3 linked regions of the Tamandua tetradactyla genome follow. The protein of the gene in region 2 purifies or fractionates together with the protein of the main gene of each other region. This does not show direct contact. Links are inferred from orthologs where the notes say so. Each region holds a gene or a part of one and is shown on either strand. Other genes may lie near its edges.

The links.
Region 1: the proteins of POLR1C (region 2) and POLR3F purify together in Homo sapiens (affinity purification with mass spectrometry; 4 studies listed by BioGRID and IntAct, counting the BioPlex papers as one, with this or other methods). This does not show direct contact. The link is inferred for Tamandua tetradactyla from reciprocal best matches to the Homo sapiens genes POLR1C and POLR3F.
Region 3: the proteins of POLR1C (region 2) and POLR3G purify together in Homo sapiens (affinity purification with mass spectrometry; 4 studies listed by BioGRID and IntAct, counting the BioPlex papers as one, with this or other methods). This does not show direct contact. The link is inferred for Tamandua tetradactyla from reciprocal best matches to the Homo sapiens genes POLR1C and POLR3G.

What each region holds. Positions count from the first base shown.
Region 1 is NC_135327.1:42,132,889-42,139,992, forward strand, and holds the start of POLR3F (DNA-directed RNA polymerase III subunit RPC6), read right to left. Parts: upstream 3,029-7,104; 5' UTR 2,663-3,028; coding exon 2,601-2,662; intron 1,668-2,600; coding exon 1,550-1,667; intron 1-1,549. Other genes in the region: DZANK1 (double zinc ribbon and ankyrin repeat-containing protein 1), read left to right, coding at 5,189-5,297. UniProt on the Homo sapiens protein: DNA-dependent RNA polymerase catalyzes the transcription of DNA into RNA using the four ribonucleoside triphosphates as substrates.
Region 2 is NC_135331.1:101,093,672-101,100,639, forward strand, and holds the start of POLR1C (DNA-directed RNA polymerases I and III subunit RPAC1), read left to right. Parts: upstream 1-3,967; 5' UTR 3,968-4,272; coding exon 4,273-4,341; intron 4,342-4,462; coding exon 4,463-4,534; intron 4,535-5,151; exon of another isoform or gene 5,152-5,293; intron 5,294-5,664; exon of another isoform or gene 5,665-5,978; coding exon 5,979-6,086; exon of another isoform or gene 6,087-6,340; coding exon 6,341-6,473; exon of another isoform or gene 6,474-6,748; coding exon 6,749-6,868; exon of another isoform or gene 6,869-6,949; coding exon 6,950-6,968. Other genes in the region: protein YIPF3, read right to left, coding at 7-130, 328-441, 639-770, 925-1,017, 1,156-1,201, 2,757-2,863, 3,057-3,254, 3,887-3,967. UniProt on the Homo sapiens protein: DNA-dependent RNA polymerase catalyzes the transcription of DNA into RNA using the four ribonucleoside triphosphates as substrates.
Region 3 is NC_135347.1:40,811,022-40,818,802, forward strand, and holds the start of POLR3G (DNA-directed RNA polymerase III subunit RPC7), read right to left. Parts: upstream 3,029-7,781; 5' UTR 2,901-3,028; intron 1-2,900. Other genes in the region: acyl-coenzyme A thioesterase MBLAC2, read left to right, coding at 3,621-4,074. UniProt on the Homo sapiens protein: DNA-dependent RNA polymerase catalyzes the transcription of DNA into RNA using the four ribonucleoside triphosphates as substrates.

The DNA of each region.
Region 1 (7,104 bases), on a different chromosome or scaffold from region 2:
TGGAAATGGGACAAATTTGAGAACAGCTGAAATGCTAAATCAGCAACGCTTGGTGACTTATCAGTAACTACTCCCTTGCACAAAATCCTTCCATGGGGGGGGGGGGGTGCAAGGATAGTTCAGTGGTAGAATTCTCGCCTGCAATGTGTGAGACTTGGGTTAGATTCCTGGTCCATACACTTCCCCCCCCAAAAAAGCCAGCCAAACAAAAATTCAACAAATGGTGCTGCAATAACAGGATACTCACATGGAAAAATAATGAAATGTGACCCTGCCATCGAACATATATAAAAAAAAATCCCTCTATGATTCTACCACTGCTTATAGCTTATGGCCAATAGGACTGGCAGTGGGTAGAAGCTGAAGATAACTCTCAGTCAGAAAAGAAAGGAGAGGACTAAAGGGGTAGTTGGAGGACCAAAAGTAATATTTCCCACTGCTTCTACCACCCAGAATCCCTTCCTCTATCCTGCCTGGAGCTGAAGACCTTTATGGAAAATTGACCACAAATTACCTACACTCCTTCTTCCCTTGCGCTAGAACAGAGGCTGGCAATCTGGACCACATGTTTGATTTTGTAAATAAAGTTTTATTGGAACACAGCCATGTCCATTTGTTTATATATTGTCCATGGTTATTTTCTCGCTAAAAGTAGAGTCGAATAGTTACAACAGACTGTATGGCTTACAAAGCCTGTAATATTTAGTAAGTAGCATTTTATAGAAAAAGTGCCAATCTCTGAGCTAAAAGGGTAAAGAAGTGATTTAACAGAAGGTTACCCTGCCTGCAAATCATCATATCAAGCGTCTTTAGAAATTCAACATTTAAAAAATTTGATTTAAAAAGCAAATCAGTCATTCAGATGAGGTGTTAATGTTGAACTCTTTTACTTAATTGCTCCTAAAACCACACTATAATGCTTTCAAGAAATGGGAGTTTTGAAAATGGGGGAAAGGAAGGAGAAATAGGTAAATTTAGAGCACAGATTACCACTTGGTGGGGTGTTTTTGGACTGTGGGAAAACGTTTCACTGAAACACCCCACTGTGATGTCACTAGCAAAGCCTGCACTTCTTCCTAAAGGAACAGCACTGCTGACATTTAACTCATTCCTACCTCTTGAAATGCCCAGTTTGAGATTGGGGAGGGTGATATTCTAATGAATTGGCTCTGTGACAACTCACAAAGAATTCAGGGAATTTATTTTATATGGAAGTGCCCAATACCAGCAGTAGGGAAACAAACAGAGGTGAGCACAGACTACACGTATGTGCCCTTATTACCTTAATGACCATTAAGTTAATAAATACAACATTTATTGTATAAATATTGGAAAATTTATTTTGTTGCTCTTATAAAATGACCCATAATTAGAACTTCTTTACTCACTTCAGGTTGGTTAGCTGTTTCCTAGTATCAGAGGTTTCCTGCTTAGTCTGAGCTGTCTTATCAGTCACAAGCTAACACACCCGGTTTTATGGCTACGTCATAGGAAGTAATGGAAACCAAAACATATAAAACATTACATGAATAAGTTGGATTCTCCTTACCATGGACAACAGTCTATTGATGGCCATTGCCCGTTGCTGGGCTTCTATATGAGGCATTTCATTCTGAATTACTTGGTCTGTGATTCCATGAGGGAACTGGTGACATAATTCTATAATCCTAGGAACAAAGGCATTAATGATATGTTTATCTGTTTCAGGAGGCATTGGGGGGAAATCCAAGCAGAACAGTTTGAATTTGGGTGTTTTTCACATCTAACAGATAACCTGGGTTTCTATGATGGTTCTGAATCAAAGTACGTAAGAAACTGAGGAACATGCTTCCTAAATATACGTGCCCTCACTAATTTCAACTTTAAATTAGAATAAAAGTTAAGTGAAAATACAGAAAAAAATTTTGAGACTGAGGCTCCAATTTTCTCAGATGGAATAAACATGACAAGGCATATTGCCTTTGTCAGTTTGAAATTACTGAATAATAATAAAGACAACGCAATGGGTAGCCATAACACTGTAAACAAGAGGCAAAACTTGTTAGAACAATTCTCCCTCACTGGAGCCTGATTTTGGAATTCTCTCTCCAAGCAAAAATAAGTCCAAATCTTCACTTTGTCATAGGATCAGCATAGCTGTTATAACAATTTGAGAGAGCTGGGTCTTTTAAAACTGTGTGAATATCTATAAAGAGAAGTACACTGGCAGAGAATACATAGTTGGGAGTAGCTTTAAGTGCTCTAAAGTTTTGACTTCAATACCTCACCGAAGCCATGTGGCTTAACACTGCTTCGTGATCATAAACTGCACCCCTAACTCCAACCAAAAGTTTTGTTCAGTGAGTTCCCTTCACGACAAAGGGGGCCTCTTTTGTGACAAAGGGAGCCCGGATCACAAAATGTATCCACAAGAACTACGGAGAAGACGCCAAGGTCTCATTTTTGGGCACTGATCACCTTAATGTAGGAAAGAAGTGTATCACCGCAACTTCCAAAACAGCACCAGAGTAAAGTGAGACCCGACACTGGTCCACGGAGAAGAGGTCCGCTGCTTTCACCAAAAGGTACCCGAAGCCTTGAACCAAAACTCACACGTTTACCTGTTTTCTATTTCCACCGGATCAGCGTCGGGCGGCTGCACCTTCACCTTCACCTCAGCCATGAGGGCGCAGTTCCCGGCCCCAGCAGTGAAGAGACTCACGGAATGGCTGGGTAAGGAGCCGGGAAATGCCGGGAAAACAGCACTAGGGACGAGGGGCCTTCCTCCTGGTGTCGCAGTCGGTCTTTCCTTATATGTCGGCTCCAGGTGGCCAAACCATGCCTGCTCCGCCTCACGTGCCGGCGCTGCCACAGCTTCTTATTCTTGTTTTCCTGACTATTAACGCTTGTCGGACTAACGAGTCTGGTTCCCTCATTTTGAGTTGAGACGCCGTCTTTTAGCACTTTCCTACCTCTGTGAAGGCACATTCTCGGATGCCTAAGGTGGAGCCGTAGTAAAGGAGCCGAGGCAAGACCAGCCCTGCCAAGCCGCAGGGGCGGAGCTGGTTGCTAGGAAGCCGGGCTTCCGCCAATCAACTGCCCAGCTGCTAGCGGGCGGGACGCTGCTCCCAGTGTCTGTGGTAACCTGGGCCGCCGGGTAGCAGGCTGCAAGAGGCGGCGAAAGGTGGTGAGAGGCTAGCTACCCCCACCCCCCTACCCCGAGGGTGGCGGAGGCAGCAGGGGCTTAGTGGAGGGGTCCTAATCTCGGTCGGGGTAGCTGGAGGAGAGCCTTCCTCACTCACTAAAGGATACGGGTGTCCCTGGTTGAAGCTGATGGGCGGGGGCGGGTACGGGATGGAGCTGCAAATCCTGACAGCAGGGAGGAGGTCTGAGCGGGGGGGTAGGGTTATGTGTGCGTGTGTTGGCGCGAAGGGGTGCTGTTGACGCCGCGCTGTCGTTTGGGCCTCGCGGGTCTGGGCCCTTCATGGTCTTTGCGTGGGGCCCACTGGCCGCCGCTGCCTCCCGAGAGCAGGTATCAGTGCCGCGGGCGAATTCCTCCCTCTCCAGCTATTTTCATTGTGAACGGAGATTTCAGCTATTTTTATTTCAACTACATCTCACGCTAATGGAAATGCGGGAATTGGCAAGCCCTTCAATGTGTCAGAGAAAGCACCAGACGGTGTCAGAACAGACTTTTATTTAAACTGCCATGGAAGGGCGAAGAGAAGTCGGCAGCCGGTCTCAACTTCGATTAGCACAGAGGGAGTCAGATTTTTTAAAGAGCACAAAGAGGACTGGATAATTGCTGAGAGGGATCTGAAAAAGTTCAGGGGTCTAGCAATGGGTTCATGTTGTGCAGTTTCTGAGAACAGTATATTATGCGGTTTAGCAGTATTGCATCATTCTAGGTAAGAGCTCAGGATGGGGGCAGGGGCCCGTCCAGGGGCATGGCCTAGCAATAGAAAAGTCCATGCTAAGGTTTGGACAAGTCTCTAGTGCAGATTTGGACAAGTAGCAGCCGAGCAATTTCTTGCAAGCATTCACAAGGTTCAGCTACCTTTCTTAGGGGCTATTGCTCTACTGTTAGTATCTGCAGTTTAAATTCACTGCCCTCAACCTGGAACTGTCAAACAAGGCATTAAGTTCACCCCTTAAATTTAGTTCTCCCATTTCTGAAATGCAGTCTGTGACAAAACTCAAACCGCAAAAATGTTTAGAGCAATATTATTTAGATTTGCAACAACCAAAACTAAGTTTCAAAAAGAAACTTGAACTTGCCTAAATGCCTAACCAAAAATTGATAGGTAATACATAAACATATGGAAGATTGTAAATAGTTGAGGGTGTGAGAAGTAGGCTTTAAAAACTGAATGAATATATGTAGTTTAAATGAGTAAAACTTATGTGTCACAATCACTGAAATTTGAAAAGGGCATACACAGATGTAAATGGTTGCTATTTTGAAGTGACGGTTTTATTTCCCTGAAAGATTTTATGTGTTATAAAGGATAACACGCCCCAACAAAAAGATCTATAAGGCCTCTGAGCTAGTTTATTATTTGTAAATACAGTAAATGGAATAGGAGACTTGTGTTTGCTGGGCACTGGTTATATCTATGCCAGCTTCCTTTCTGCTGAGGACTGATACTCTCCAGTCCTTCTGGAGCTTCTCTGCAGCTTTGAAATGCAGGGACCACTGTGATGACAACTGGGGCTTGAGGACCTAGAGTTTACCAAAGGAGGTGGCTCTAAATTAACATTTAATGCTACATATAGAGTTACTGTTTCTCTGGTGTGATGATTACCCCAAAGCCAAGAGAGGTGGCACAGTGGTAGGAGGTGGGAATGGGTGGTACTGATCAGTGGAAACTAGGTCAAATCATTAGTGCTGGTCTCTGTTCTGCCTCATTCCTTAATATGCCCATTTAATAAGTCCACTAGTACCCGATTCCATTCATTCATGCTTTTTTTCCCAGAAAAGAGGGGGAGGATTTAGATAGTCAAAACCCTACACAAAACCTCAGCAACAAAAAATACAACTGAAACATAATCATTATTTCAATTAAAAATGGAATAATATTAACAAAATCTTTTTCTTTTTTATTAACTTTACTGCATTTCAAACAAGGTGCTTCTCTTCAGCTTACATTCAAATATGAGTACACGTTGAAATTTATTTTCATGTAATTTTTTAATATCAGGAGAGAAAATGACTGCTGGTTCGGTGTCTGTCCCTCAAATCATACCATTGCAAGTGCCTCAGCCTGGAAAAGCCAAACATGAAATTGATAGCAATACACTTTTGGAAATGAAATCAGGTAGGAATCAAATGTATTTAAAATAATTTAAAATAACACCGTCATAAGTTTTCTGCTCGTCTGTTTATTTGTTTACATCCTTCCATGCTTGTTTTAACTTAGGGGAGTTTTCAAAGCTTACAAGTGTTATACTTGGACGGAGCGTTATCTATGTAGATTAAAACATAGATAATGGGCTTTGACCAGTCTTTCCTCTGTATGAGAATGTTGTATACCTTGACACCTTAGCAAAGGTAAGATGTCCTAGTGTTTCCCCAGACTTCCCCAGGATGCTCATTAGTTTGCTAGGCTAATAAATTTGACCTATTACACAAGATTTCCAGTCAGACAGGTTGGGGATTGGATCCTGGCTTTGATGACTTCTAGGAACCTTGGGCACATTAATTAGCCTTTCTAAGTCTCAATTTTCTCATTGTAAGATAGGAATAATAATGCCTACCATTTAGAGCCATTGCAAGGAATCAATGAATTGGTATATATGTGAAGTGTAAGATCTATGTAAATAATATATCAAATATTATAAATATATCAAATAAAAATATATGCATCCATATTTAATTAACAGAAAGAAAAGGGAAAATTTTATCAATAAGACATGAATAAATGCCCTCATTAAGAAGATACTGAGATTCCAACTATATACATTTTTTAAAATATTTTTATTGATAAATCTTAACATACAAACGTACATTCTTAGCATACAAAAATTCTGTATATGGTGTACAAATCAATGGCTCATGATATCATCACATAATTGTGTTTTCATCACCATGATCATTTTTAGAACATTTGTACCACTCCAGAAGAAGAAATAAAAAAGAAAAGACTCATATATACCATACCCCTTACCCCTGCCTCCCATTGACCGCTAGTATTTCCATCTACCTAATTTATTTTACCTTTGTCCCCCCATTATTTGTTTATTTTTTATCCATATTTTGTACTCATCTGTCCATACCCTAGATAAAAGGAGCTTCAGACACAAGGTTTTCGCAATCACCCAGTCACATTGTGAAAGCTATATATATATACAATTATCTTCAAGAAACAAGGCTACTGGAATACAGCTCTACAGTTTGAGGTACTTCTCTTTAGCCACTCCAATACCCCATAAACTGAAAAGGGATATTATATTATTATAATGCATAAGAATAACTTCCAGGATACCTCTTGACTGTTTGAAATCTCTCAGCCACTGATACTTTATTTTTTCTCATTTCTCTCTTCCTCCTTTTGGTCAAGAACATTTTCTCAATCCCTTGATGCTGGGTTCTGGCTCATCCCAGGATTTCTGTCCCACATTGACAGGGAGATTTACGCCCCTGGTCAGTTTAATTGAACACCGTAAGTATGTGGAATATTGAATAGGGTGTGAGACTTTGTTGGTTTGTCCAGGTTAGTATGATGCCCCGATATATCCCAGAGTGATTTGGGCAGTGAATAAAGGAGTATGTCCCCATAGGAGGGGATGGCAGTGAGTTTACTTGCTATGTCAGCTTAGAGAGAGAGGCCTCATCTGAGCAACAAGAGAGGTTCTCTGGGGGTGACTCTTGGACCTAATTTTAAGTTGACTTAGCCTATCCTTTGCAGGAATAAGTTTCATAGAGATGAACCCCAAGACTGAGGACTTGGCCTGTTGATTTGGTTCTCTCCACTGCTTATGAGAATATCAGAAACTCTACAAGTTGGAAAGTTAAATGTTTCCTCCTTTCTCCCCAGTGCCCCAAGGAAACCTTGCATATACTTCTTTATTCACTGCTTAAATCACTCTGGGATATATCGGGGCATCATACTAACCTGGACAAAC
Region 2 (6,968 bases):
ACTTACCCTCTACCACCTTGTGGTAGGCAAAATGCAGATAGAGCAGGAAAAGCATGTGCAGGGCAGCCAGAGTGCCGCAGAGGAGCAGGCGCTGTGTGGGGCCCACAGTCCGTGACACTAATACTGCCACCTAGGGCCACAGGGATACAGCTCAGAGCCTGTTCCAAAGTGAAGGATTGGAGGCAAATACCCCACCCAGGGCAGAATCATCTTTGGACCCTTCTCTACCATTCAGAACCCTTTGTGGGGTTCAGCTCCAGTGCCAGCCTTTCTTTCCCAACTCCCCGGGAGGACAGCCCACCCCTGAAAACCTCTTGCCCAGCTTACCATGCGCAGGGTGGATAAACCACCCACCAGCAGCCAGAAGAGGTAAAAGAGGGCATGGAGGTGGATGTTGTAGGTGATGAACAGGACAATGCAGTGCCCAAAGAGGCCATAACCCTGGGAAGGAGGATAATGGAGAGGAAAACCACTCAGGCTGAGGTTGGCCTCTGGTCCTTCATAGGAACCCTGAGAAATAAAGGGTACAATGGCTGGCTCCTCCCATTCCAGGCTCTGTGGACCCAAAACAGATGGAGACCAAGGCCTACCTGCTCTCTTAAGGTTATCCCTGCTCACTGCCATGCCTGGCTCCTTACCAGCAGTGCCAGCATCTGGAGCATGGTGATCTGGGCGTTGCACAGGTAGGCGAGGAAATAAATGAAGGACGAGACGCCCAGCCAGTAGCCGAAGCAGGTGCCAATGGCTGTGCCCATCAGGGTGCCCTCCCGCTGTGGGGTGAAGGCTCTGCTTAGTCCAGGGAGGCCTCTGATCTCAGTCTCAACCAGGGCCTTCCTCAGGGGGTGCTCCTGCCTCACTCCACCATCCTGTCCTTGGGCAGCTTTCAGCCTAGTTCAGCCACCCCCCAAAGTCCTCTGTCCTTACGATAATTGTGTCAGATGTCTTCATTCCATGGAGGAGGATAGCAACCAGCGTGAAGACCAGCATAAGAGGTCCATAGAGTTCACCTGCGATTTTCTGTCAATACAGCAGCAACTCATTCAGGATGGAGGGTACCATGGCTATCCCGTTTATGGCTTCCCAGGCTTTGCCTGGTGGCCTTACCCTCTGCCCTGGTGCCTCCCCTGTTTCTCAGACATGCCATCTCTTATTCACCTGGGGGAAGCTGACCATCTTGATAGGGATCATGGACTCCAAAAGCCTGGGAGAGAAGAGAGGAGACATAAAAGCAGAGGCAGAACTGAGTTGTGAGGTTCTGGAAGGGAAGTCCTGAGTCTTACCTAAAGGATATGCTGGATGATAGGAGGAGAGTGTAGTAAAGACAGACAGGGAATGGGAAAATCACCTCCTTGCCCTTTAAAATATTCCCAGGAAGGACAACCTCTGATACTGTGCTGACTGAAGCAGTTGCAATATGGAGAACTCAGCCCAGATGGGCTTTGGGAGAGGGCCTGACAATTTAGCTATTTGACCTATTCCCCTTATCAGACAAACAGGCCTTAACAGAGAATACCCAGAATTCAGGGCTGCATTAGTGAAGCCCTGGGAAAGGAAAGGTGTAACTTAGGAAACCAGCATGCATCCTGCCTCCTCTTGCTTGCTATTTCTTTAGCACGATTGAACATTTTCTTGAAAGCTACATTAGAAGTGGTAAGGAAACTCCAGGCAGAAAGAATAAAAGTACAAGATACTTCCCCACTCTCTTCTTAAGTGGTTAGCCCCTAATAATACTTTGGATTTTAGTTAGATTTACTTTCTCTGGAAAACCTGCCCTGGCTCATCCCCCAGCCCACCCTGGGTCAGGTTTTCCTCCTGAAAACCTGGTTTCCTAAGTTACACCTTTCCTTTCCCAGGGCTTCACTAATGCAGCCCTGAATTCTGGGTATTCTCTGTTAAGGCAGGTGTCCCACACGGCTGCCTATTTTCACTACACTTGAGGGCAAGGCTCCCATCTACCTTCACCACCGACTTAGGCACAGCTAGTATGGTGCCTGGCACAGAGAAAATGTTCAGTAGACATTTGCTGAGTGGTCTGGGTATCTGATAAGCATTGGTTAAGTAAAAATATGAACAAAGAACCAAATCAAGATTAAATTCAGTTCTTTAATAGTCATTCAGCTGCTATGCAATGATATTCCAGTTCAGAGACTATTCTGGCGCTGGGAATAAAAAGATAAACAAGACAGAGTCTGCTCTGGAGGGATTGGGTTCTCTGGGTAGACAAACCGAGGAATAAGAAATACACAATGCTGAAGTGCTGTCACATAGAGAAAACTGCAAAATGCTCTAGGAGCAAAAAAACCAACCAACCAAACAAACAACAAAGGGGCAGGCCATGGTGGCTCAGCAGGCAGAGTTCTCGCCTGCTTTGCCAGAGACCTGGGTTCGATTCCCGGTGCCTGCCCGTGCAAAACAAAACAAAACAAAACAAAATAAACAAACAAAAAATGCTCTAGGGGTACCAGGAGAGAATAAACTGGAGTTGGGGGTTAAGGAATAGGGAACAAAGGAAGTGACACTTGAGCTAGGTTTTGAGGAAGATGAGAAGTCGGCTAGATGGAGAAAAGGAGGAAGATAATATGATATCACCATGTTGTATTGAACGGCTGGTGAGAGGTATGGTGTGGCTGGGATACAAAGTGCAATGATGCAGGGTTGTGGGGTCACGAGGGTAGGGAGCCTGACAGCTCGATATATGGGTGTAGGTTGGATGAAGGACCAGGTTAGGAGAGCAACTCTGTTAGAAGGATCCTTACCTGCTTCGCACCTGGGCAGGCTCCACATCAAAGTAGGGTCTCAGGATGTCAATGTTGGCGTACAAACTGAAGGCCCTGGAGGCTTGTCTCTTCCCTGCCTGCCACATCTAAAGCAACGAAGATGAAGGGTGGGGTTGGGGGGATGGGTACCGTGAGACTCTTGGCTCTAGGCCCTGTTACCTGTTTTCTGTTGGATTTCTACATGGTTCTACCTGGGGTAGACCTCACCAATGCCGACTCCAGAGCCCTGGCCCTGCCTAGATATACTGTTCCACCTGTTTGGGATCCAGTCTTGCTTACCTGATCAGCCACTTGCCGGCTCAGTTGTCCCTTAAAACCCTTCATGCCCAAGAATTCCCCATCCTCTTCTTCAGCAGCTGCTGCATCAGCATCTACCTCTTCCTCACGCAGACGCTGATGCAGCTCACCCATATCCTCAAAGCTGGAGCCTGAAGTGTCATCCATGTTCTCCATGTCAATCACAGCTGAGCCCCCACCCTGTGAAGACAATGGCTCCTAGAATGAATGGCCTTTCTGCTCATCCATTAAGTCCTCCTCTCTCATCCCAAAGTTTGGGGCTCTGTTCTTCCACTGCTGGGGCTATGGCTTTGAATTACTACAGATCACGCCACTTCACTGCTTCCCCTTCATTTGCTCTCAGAATGCCTGGTTCCTAGCTTTGGCTCTCTTTTCTAGCCTAGGAAACCTACCAGCTGTCTTCCATTCAAACCTTTCTCCTGCTTTCGGTATGAAACCCTCAAAGGCTCAAGACAAAACTGCACACACTATGCTTTCGGCCAGTGACAGTAATTCCTGCCCCTCCCCCGCAGTGTCTGACTCCGGCCCACTTCCTAACTTGTCTCAAAAGCGTTAGTACGCTCTTCCTAACGCCTGAGGTGGGTTAGAGACCCGAAGCCTTCCGGCTGGAGTATCTGTCTGGACCTTTCAAGACAGCACTAACCCCTCCGACTGTCTCGCCCAAGACCCACTGGAGAGAAAAAGTGTTGCAAATGGCGCAGGAGATAAAAAGGTTAGGAGCGGTTTTCCAGGCCCTGAAGGAGAGTCCTCAGGGCACTACAGGGTGGCTGCCGGCGCTAGGGCTGCTGGCATCCAGAGCTTTGGTCCATTACCTGGATGTTTTCTTCGAACCCTCCCCATTCCGGGCCAGTCCCGTTTCGGGCGCCGTTGACAGGCGCCGCTGTAGCTGCCATGTGTCTTGTGGGCTCCCGTCGCTGAAGCCCGCGCTAGCCCCGCGCCCGGAGGAGCGGGCGAAATATGGGTCCGAGGGAGGGAGATGTCAAGAAGCAACGAGAGACAGGACTAGCCGGAACGCAAAAAAGGGAGAAGCCCGGATGTTTGGCCAAATCAGACTCCCGGAAGCTAGGGACGTGGACGGAATAGGATCAGAATCTCGCGATATCTAAACCTCCAGTTGGTGGCTCGTTGTCACGGAGACGGCAAGGCTAGTAGGACGCACGCGCCAATTTACTGTCTTAGTCACGTGGTGGGTTTGAAGATGGCGGCGTCCCAGAGGGTAGAAGAAATGCGAAACCGCGTGGTTCTGGGGGAGTTCGGAGTTCGAAATGTAAGTCCTGTGGCTTTAGGCTCGGGAGGGGAGAGGGGATCAGAATAGGGATGAGTTGGTGTCGGGGATGCCTTTGGCCTCGCAGACCCTTCTCGGACAGGCTCGCCTCTCTTTGCTCTAGGTTCATACTACCGACTTCCCCGGTAACTACTCTGGTTACGATGACGCCTGGGACCAGGACAGCTTCGAGAGGGTGAGAGAGGAGTGGGAAAGTACAGGGAGGGAGAGGGATCTGATTAGGAGGTGGTTGGGGCTGTAGGTGTCCGGAGAGGGTGTGAAGGCCGGACGGTGTGAGCTAAGCCTCAGAAGTTGTCCTTGGGGCTAGAGCCAAAACGTTCATAAAACGTTTACTGAGCGTGTTTCCATCCCACCAGTGCTAGGTGCTGCGTGTACAAGGCTGAATCAGGCGCATGTTTTTTTTTTGCCCTGTTCTGTGAACAAGAAGTTGGGGAAGAGCGCGCATAAAACAAATGATTCCAGTATTGTGTGACAGTGGCGGTTGATAGCGATAAACATGGGATGGGGATTGGGTATCCTATAGAAGGACCTAATCTGGACTGGGAATGGGGACGAGGTATGAAGAGTGCCTGGAGGAGATGCATCTCAATTCAATCTTCAATGATAAGTACAAGTTGTGAACATTGACGAGAGAGGAGGTACTAATAACAGAAGCTAAATTTTGAGGTGTCTCGGCATTGTCCAAGCAGTTCAATATTGCTGTGATGTAAGGTGGGCTGGCACGAGTGATAGGCAGGACTGGAGTAAGTCTTAGGCATTGCAGGTAATAGCTTTTGAATAATTTTTATACAGATAACATCAGATTTGCAACTCACATGATTGGGAGAGAATTTGAGCAGGATGATATGGGTCAGGCAGACCTGTTGGAAGAGTTGAAAATGAAGGCATGGACTAAAACTGTGTCCATGGAAATAGAGGAAAGGGAGGATAGAAGGTAAAATTTGGGATTGATTTGATATGTGCGGTGAGGGAGGGGGAGTGTAAAATAACCTAGTTTGAAGAACTGCTTGGATGGTGGGTGTCCTCTAAGAAGAAATGGGTCTGGGGAAGGAATGATGATGCATTCATTTTCCTGCATGTGGCAATGTCTAGCAGGCTAGAAGAATATATATTTGAAATGAGATCAGAAAGTAGAGTTGATTAAAACCATGAGTGTGGGGTTGAGGTACATGGGAGACAAGAACCTGGGAAATAGTAACATAGGGGAAAGTAGAAGATAGTGAATTTAGTAAAAATCATCAGAGAAGGAAGAGAATCAAAGTTTCAAAAAGAAGGAATTTTATCAATAATGGCAAATGCAGCAGAGTCCAGTAAGGTAAAGCTTGAGTGGTGTCGACTGGAATAAGCAGTGTGGAAGTTCCAGTTCCATAAAAGAATGGCTTCTGTGAGATGATCTGGCTAGAAACCAGATTGCCGAAGGTTTTGAATAGATAAAAACAGAATTTCCAAGAAAAAAAGAAAGGATTCGGGAGAAAGGGACATGTAATGAGGGACATTTGGGCAAAGGGGAGGTTCCTGGATGAGAAGGTATTCATACTTTGAGAGAAATATCCAGAGGGGAGATGTAGAGAGAAATTGACCATACAGATAGCTGGCATCAGTTTTTCTTGCCCCTCTAGAATTTCCGTGTGGATGTGGTACAGATGGATGAAAACTCATTGGAATTTGACATGGTGGGGATTGACGCAGCCATTGCCAATGCATTTCGACGCATTCTGTTAGCTGAGGTATTGATGGGAAGGTGGCATTTGGGGGGTTGTGTGGGGAACCATGCCATCACCTCCCTTGTTGAATATATGCATCTCAAGCTGCAGCCACTCCTTGTTTTTCTTGTAGTTTTGCTGGGCATTCCTCTTGCCCATTCCTTGTAAACTGCTCATCAGACATTCTTTCAGAAGAGTTCTTTTCCTATGAGGAGGCAGGGATTGGGTGGGGAGTCTCTTGAGTGTTTGCAGATGGGTGATACTATTTCCTTGGGCAGGTACCAACCATGGCTATAGAAAAGGTCCTGGTGTACAACAACACATCCATTGTCCAGGATGAGATCCTTGCCCATCGTCTAGGGCTCATTCCCATTCATGCTGATCCCCGTCTTTTTGAATATCGGAACCAAGGTGAGGGTCTGGGAAAATAAAGTTTTGGAAACAGGGGAAGTAACTCTTTATTGAAGTTGATTTTGTAATCAAGATTGCCTGAGTTTAGATACTGGGTTGACTACTGTGTGATCTTGGGCAAGTTACTTAGCCTTTTGCAACGTTAATGTTCTCATCTGTGAAATGAAAATTGTACCTGTTTTATAAGTTCATCAGGAGGATTGAGATAGGCATTGAGTATAGTACCTGGCATGCAAATGTTCACAAGTTTTCCTCCTCCTCTTACATTTGTGCAGGAGATGAAGAAGGCACAGAGATAGATACTCTGCAGTTTCGGCTGCAAGTCAGGTGCACTCAGAATCCCCATGCTGCTAAAGATTCCTCTGATCCCAATGAACTCTATGTGAACCACAAAGGTGAGTAGTGGTAGGGTAAGGGAAAGGCTGATGTGTGCTAGTTTTAGAGGTTGAAGTCATCTAACATGCATTTTCCTCCAGTGTATACAAGGCATATGAC
Region 3 (7,781 bases), on a different chromosome or scaffold from region 2:
ACACATTGTTCATAACGCCAAGCAATGCACCAAATCCAGGGTGAATAAGAGGTATGCCTTTCTTTTGTAAAATGGAAAAAGACAAATGGGAAAGATAAGTTAGGAATGGAAAACTAGCAAGATGTAGACCTCCAGCCTCTAAGGTAGGTGAATTCTGAACGTTAGAAAGGAGTACATACAAAAGTTGAGCATCTGGGAAGCAACTTCCATAATCATTTGAGCCTGGGAGCCGTTAGGAAACATGTACACCTCCAGTTCATGCCCCACAGCGGTGACACTACTCTAGAAACTCTTCCCAGTGAGTCTATCCACTTTACCTCCCAATGAGGGAGTCCATCCACTTTAGGTTCACTTAACCTCTTTGGAGAATTCTCCAATCTTTTTTGTTGTTGTTGTTTTGCAGGGGCAGGCACTGGGAATCAAACTCAGGTCTCCAGCATGGCAAGAATTCTCCAATCTTTAAATCCAGCCTTGTTCTCTCTCCTCTTTTAAGAACTCTATCTTGACCATCTGCATATTTCTACCTATGTATCTTACAAATATCTCAACTCAGTGTGTCCTGAACTGAAATTTCCAGCAAACCTGTTCACTATCTGCAGCCCCTTTCTTGATGAATGACACCTTAGTAGCCCCAATCAGAAACCTGATAGTCATCCTCACCTCCTTTCTCTCCATTCCCTCATCTAATTATAGAAGACTATCAGGTCTGTGTGCTCTCCCACACACTCCCTTTCTTTCACCTCTCCTTTAGTTTACTCCCTCATGGTCTCTCACCTGAACCTCTAAAACAGAACAAACTTCCCATGGACAGTCTTTCAATGCACTCTCCATTTGCCTTTCTACAAAACATATCTTGACCTGTCACTCTCAACCTTATAAACACCCAAGAGAGTTTTTTTGAGTCTAACTTTCTGCCTCTAGTCCTCTGCATCCCAGACTCTAACCACAGCAAACGCTGCTACCCTAGTTTTGCACAGTGTACCCTCCGCCTGGAGTGTCCTCCCACATCCACTTGAGGAAGCCCGAGCAATCCTTTTAAGACTCCTTGAAAATGTCACTTTCTCTGTGACTATTTTCAACACCCTACACAGAGGTAGTCCTCTCCCTTCTCAGCGTTTACCAAGTAGTACATGCTTCTATGGCTGGTTTTAGAATTGTAATGTAATTGTTCATTTCTTGCCTGTCCCCCCATTATGTCTCTTCATTCATTTATTCATCAAGTAGTTACTAAGCACCTTCTATGAATCAGGACATCTTCTATGCATTGGGAACATAGCAATGAACAAAACGAAGTCTGTGCTCTCATGGAATTCATAATCTAGTATAGGAAATGGAGAATAAATTTAAATTAAACTCAAGGCCTACAGTGGAAAGAGTGGAAACTAGATTTGGGAACACCCCGTCTATAGAAAGGATGGTTGAAGAAGTCTTTTCTTCATTCAGTAATATCTGAGCACCCTGAAGAATGTAAGGGAGAGAGGCTTTCCCTGAGGAAGGTAGGGGAGGGAACCATGCAAGGAATTTGGAAAGGATATCTAGGGAGAAAATGGGATATAAGGAGAGGGATCTGTAAATGCATAGGGTCTCTATAAAAACCTATTCTTCTTTTTATGTCCTATCCCTAACCAGAGCCTGGCAAAAAAATACAATAAATGTTGGGTGAATTTTTGCTGAGATTTTGGTCTCACAAGGATATCATTTCATTTCAACTCCAACGGTTTCTTTCTGCCTAGATGAAAAATACCCGAACTGCTGGGAGCGCTGTATTTCCCTGCTGAGAATGTCCTAATAAAAACATCTTTTAGCTGTACTCTATTGCACCTAATTTCGACTCCTTCTGTGGTCTATACCCCATATTTGCTTTGTATTGCAAAAATTTGTGTACAGATATTGTTTTCCTTCGCATTCTTGAGAACTCAGATCATGTCTTTCTCACACAATTATTTTCCTCATACAGCATCTAGCTCAGGGTCATGCACATAAAAGTGCCCCCCTAGGTGGTGACTGGATAACCTCCAAGGATTAGTAAAATCTTCAGAAAGGTCGCATCCCCACCAAATGCCTTAAAAATGTAGAAGAGCATATACCTCTGTTTCTATTAAGGCTTATTAGTAACTGCCAGAGTAAGGGTTTCCATAATTATCTTTTATAATGTTGTCTCATGGGTCCCTTAATAATTTTTCCTGACTGAGTGGGGAGGTAAATCAAGCTCTCAAGGGAATTTTCTAAGCCTAAATGGATGTTTCAAAAGCTGCAGATAAGGAGAGGGGAGGTTGCAGGCACCGGGTGTTAATAACAGAGGTGATTTACGTGGCTGGCGGGACCACACCCAGTTATTATTCACTTTTCCAGGCGTCAGAAGGGCTGGCTGCCTCCACCTTTCCTTGGTTGGGCATGCCTACCAACTTTCCTTGCTCTCTTCCAACAGCGAACCAACTAACCAAAAATGAGGGGCGAGGGGAGGTGAAGAAAAATAAAGAATTTTACTTTTCAAAAAGAAGAAAAATCTTAACAAACTCCCTCCCCACGAAGGGTAAAATGCCCACAGTTAAAAACAGATCCTGAATAATCTGTCCTTAGGGGGCAAGTCTGCGGCAATGACTAGTACCTGAAAAATCGCATAGTCACAGGATTTGGTAAATCTCCTACCATCAGTAAGAGTAAATAAGTTCCCCCCTAAATCACTTGGTCCCAGGAAGTGGAGACCAAGTAAGATCCAGAAACCACAACTAAAAGATTTTGAATGGAGCAGAAGAGGATAAAGCTATCTCTCAACATTTCTCCTCCCAGAGGACCTTAAATCTCCACGCCTGGCTTCCCCCACCCACTCCATGTGCCTCTTTAAACTCCCCCCTAACCACCTCGTCCCCTCCCAGGGTCCCGGTTGCTTCCTCAGTTACCTGCTCACTAAGTCTCCCGGCTCGGGCAAAACTGCAGCCGAGGTGCCGGCCGGCAAGGAAGGGGTGCGGATGGAGGGAGCCGGCGCCGCCGGCCGGGGGATCTACCTCTGGAGCAGCGCGCCCCGCCCTCCACGCGGCCGCAGGCCCGCGTTCTGAGCCCGGCCATCTAGCCCCGCCCAGCCCGCAGCCAGGCCCCACCTCCTGGGTTAAAGGTTTTTTAGCCCTTGGCAGGCGCCGTAGTTTTCTTCCAACCGGCTTGGCCTGACTCTTTCGGCGCCGGTTGGGAGTGAGCACAGTGCTGCGCGGGTGGGCGGACAGACCCGGGACTTCCCACGCCTCTGCAGTCAGCCCCCAGTGCCCCTCTCCTCGCGAGGTGGTGAAAGTATCGCCTTTTGGATCTCCATTCTGTTGAAGCGGCCCCTGCATTGACGCCTCCCCTCCCCCGCCTTGTGCTGGACAGCTAGTGCTCCTGCGTCCGGGTGCGGGCAGCGAATCCTCTGCTCTCTGCGGACCTGGTGGGAGGGTGCGGGAGGTGCGAGGCGTCCTTCCTGCTCCCCCCTCCCCACGCGTATCTCCGCAGCCCCCGCCCCCCTCCTCGCTCTGCGCTTCTCCGGCCTGTGGGCACCGCGCTCCACACCGCCGCAGCGCCGCTCCTCCGGACAGCCTGCGGGAAGCTCCCACGCCCACACCCGCCCACCCCCGGCCGCACCCCTGCCCACGATGTCAGCGCTCGAGTGGTACGCCCACAAGTCCCTGGGCGACGGCATCTTCTGGATTCAGGAACGCTTCTATGAGTCGGGCAACCGCGCCAACATCTGGCTTGTGCGCGGCTCGGAGCAGGACGTGGTGATCGACACGGGCCTGGGGTTGCGCAGCCTCCCGGAGTACCTGTACTCCTCCGGTCTCCTGCAGGACCGCGGAGCCAAGGAAGACGCGGCGCGCCGGCCGCTGCTGGCGGTGGCCACGCACGTGCATTTCGACCACGCCGGCGGCCTCTACCAGTTTGACCGAGTGGCGGTGCACCACGCCGAGGCCGAGGCTCTCGCTCGTGGGGACAACTTTGAGACGGTGACCTGGCTGTCCGACAGCGAGGTGGTGCGGGCACCCAGCCCCGGCTGGAGGGCCAGGCAGTTCCGAGTGCAGGCTGTGCAGCCCACCCTGGTCCTGCAGGATGGTAAGGGGCCCCCATGCGCGCGCGCTCTCTAAGGGAAGGGATGGGGGAAGAGACGGCCCTAGGGATGCATGTTGCAGACCTGCGTGGCTGTAAGGGGCTTGTTTTGGCACGTCGCATAAACACCACTTCAGTTGCAGCACTCCTTGAGTAAAAGCCCACCCGATCAGAGGCAAGGCCATTGCAGCTTTCCTTGCCGAGCCCGGCTTCGGCCACTGTGTAGCGGTTGCGCTGCTCGAGTGAAAGCCGTCCCCACCCCCTAGTCACTTTCCTCGATCCGTTAACAGTAGTAGCGCTACAGGGACTTGTGGCTGGGATTTCCCAGTGCTTTTCCGGGCACCTGTCTGACATTTCTAGGTGCTTTTGTAACGAGAAGACTTCTAAGGAGTGACACCTCAGGAAGAGAGCATGCCATGCGCTATGCTTTTGAGAACTGCTGACTTCATCTGCTTGGTCACCACTGCATGTGGGCGATTACCACCTGTAGGTTTAGAAGACCATTAAGAGAGTAGCGGTTCCAATGTGATCGAGCACCATTATCTTCAAAATAGATTTCTGTTCTTGATGTTGCCTCACGAGAAAAAAAGCGTGATTGCGAACATAAAAGTAAAACATGTCTGAGTCTCAAACCTGAGAATAATTAATTAGGATGTTGCTTCCGGTAGAGGAGAGAGATGTCGTCTAATGCCTAGGTAATCCTGATCTTTTCTGGCTCTGTGAAAGAATGGGGTTCAGAAAGAAATTCATGGAATAAAACAAAATAGAGGAAGGTGTCAGCCCCTGCCTCAAACCCTCTACGCTGGTGCTTAAATAATTGAGCTAAATAGCCATAGTAGCAATGTTTGGTTTATTAAATTTTCCTTCTTTGTAGGATGCTTCCATTTTCTTCTTTTTACCCTCACAACACAATTGAAATGAGGCCATTGACACCCAGTTAGATGACTTGGCTGAAGTCTACCGAGCAAAATAGTTAACAAAATGGATTGGAGCCAAGGTGCAGTATATCCAAGCAAACTGAACATACATGAATCTCCTCCCGTAAATATATTACGATAATTCTGTAAAATGAAATCCCCTTTTTCCTTTCCCTTTCCAAACCATTTTAGTTGCTACCAATATATCCCTCTATAAGGTAGAAAGACCCACTTGTTGAAGTACAATAGGTACCAGACAGAGCTCACTTTTTGACCCAGCCATACTGCCAAATAAAGAATAAGCACTTTTATCTTACAAGATTTCATTAATTTGCAATATTAAAAAATAGAAAACACAATTCTATAAATTGCCCACACCACCCAAAACATCTTTTCATAACAGTTCAAGATGAAAAAAAGTACATTCACATTAAATGTCCTTTTAATTTATGTATTTCTTGATAAAATTCAAACTTTTAGAGGTGAGATTTACATGCAGTTACTAGGTATTCAGAATTAGTTGATTCCAGTGAATTATATCCCACCTAGACCAAAATATGTTTATAATAATATTAAATGTATTTAAATTTTTTAAAGAATAAATTACTTCTGAAGGCACCAAGGGAGATTTATAGATCAAAAGAATAATTGGGATCAACAAGTGAAACTCCCTTGTTTTATAGATGAAAACAGGAGTCCCAAGCAGATCAAACATAACCAGTTTGATCAAGAGCTGAGATTAAACCCAGGTTTCCTGAATTCCAATTGATGGTAGAATGTAGCATTTTGAAACTGCAAAGGACCTGCAAGTTACTTGTGTGGAGCTTTAAGACTTTTGAAGGTGTAATCAGAAAGCTTAATATTTACCAAGCACTTTGAAGGTGAAAATACTGTGTTATCAAAAGTTGTTCTTCATTAGGAGCTGGTTGTCTCACACTCTCAAGTAGTATCTAATTTCCTCCCTTCTCAGGTATGTTAATTTCCTGTCTCTTCTGAATGATGTGGCTTTCTAACTTGCTATTTTTTTTTTCAGAGAATGTGTACATTTTTATTCTCATGACATGTCTCCAAAGAGAGGCAGAGCTTTGAATAAAAAATAGAGTCTGGTTCATTCTAGCCAACAATGTCATAAAATGGTACACACACATTTTCCGGGGGGGCAGGGTGGCAAACAAATTACTTCAAAAATTCTAACTTGCTATTAAGGATCCAGATGACTGGAAAAAGATATAAAATATTTATAGTAAAAATTTATAAACAGTTACACACACACGCACACATACAAACACAAATAGCACAAACCCAAACAGGATAAAGTCTTCACTGCTTTCATTAGAATGCAAGGAGATTGGAGTCATTTGTTTATTACATTTCATTTAGTGTATGGAGGATCACCTGTCATGGAGAAGCATAAATCTGTGCACAGTATTCCAAACTCAAAAGCTGACTTGTAAATGAGGTACAAAGAGGCCAAGACACCAGCTATATCATCCAGTGTATATCTTTGATGCAAAAGCAATTCACCCTAATAGTGAAATAATATCTACTTATAAGAAGATAGTAATATACTTTAGATTGATATAGCAGTTTCCTCTTGAAATGGGCAGATATCATTTTGCCTGTTTTTCACAATATTTAAATAATATGAAGTGCTATCAAGTGATGTGAAGAACGTTTATACATGTTTAAAGCAATTTGCCCAGAGTACCAAGATATTATCTGAACTGACACTACAATGATTGTAAATATTGTGTCAGAGGAGTGGTTCCAGTAGACTTAAATTGCTTAGAGAGGTTAAAAACAAACATACAGATTCCAAGAAGGTAGCAGATTAAATAGACCCATGTAATTTGGCTCCCTCCCAAAACCCCATTAAGACTATTAGAAAGGGATAGTGGGTTATTTGTTTTAAGTATAAATCCATATTGACCAGGGAACTATTGCAGATCTGGAAAGCAGATATAGGGACTGAGTTAGTTTTATCCTGTGCCTGCACTAGGAAATCAGGAGCCAATGCCATTTATGTTGCAGGAGCCTTAAGATGCTCAGGAATTATTAAGTACCTCATTGGGTGAAGGAAAGGATACTAAAATGAGTAAAATTGGTTGGAAGACATGTTAGAAGCTGTTAAAACCCTACATTGGTTGCTGAAAATGAATACCCCTCCCCCACTCTTTAAAACTGAAGAGTTTTTTGATTTCAGGATAGGACACCAAACATTATTGAGTTTAGGACTTCATTGTGGAAAACATGAGGAATATATGCACATATGTGTCCTCACTGGTTTTCCAGAAGGATAGCAGCCAGGCCTTTCCTCCCCAGATAGAAAAGTAGAAGAATTTTTATCTGGGGTTCTGCCCAGCTCCAAAGGAAAAAAACCAAGATGCCTGTGACACTAGGCCCTAGGCATATGCTTCAAACAACCTTTGGATCCCCAAATCTTAAAATGCTTAAACAAGCGTTTTGGAAAATCCTCTAACGTGAGATCAAGTTTCAAAACAAACAATAATGCAACTCAGTGGGAAAAACTATTAACTCATCCAGGGGATAACAGAAGCTATTGAATCCAAGACATCGAAGAGATAATAAGGATGCTTTAAAATTGAGTAACAGAACAAATCAATCAAAAAGGAGCTCTTGTGAGTTAAAATATCAAAAATTATTTAATAGAAGTTCTGGAAGATAAAGTTGAAAAACTTGCAAAAGGTAGAAGAGATAGGTAAAATGGAAACTAGGAAAGAAAAGAACAAGATATATAGATGACCAGTATGGAAAATAATCCAACATTGGAATAAC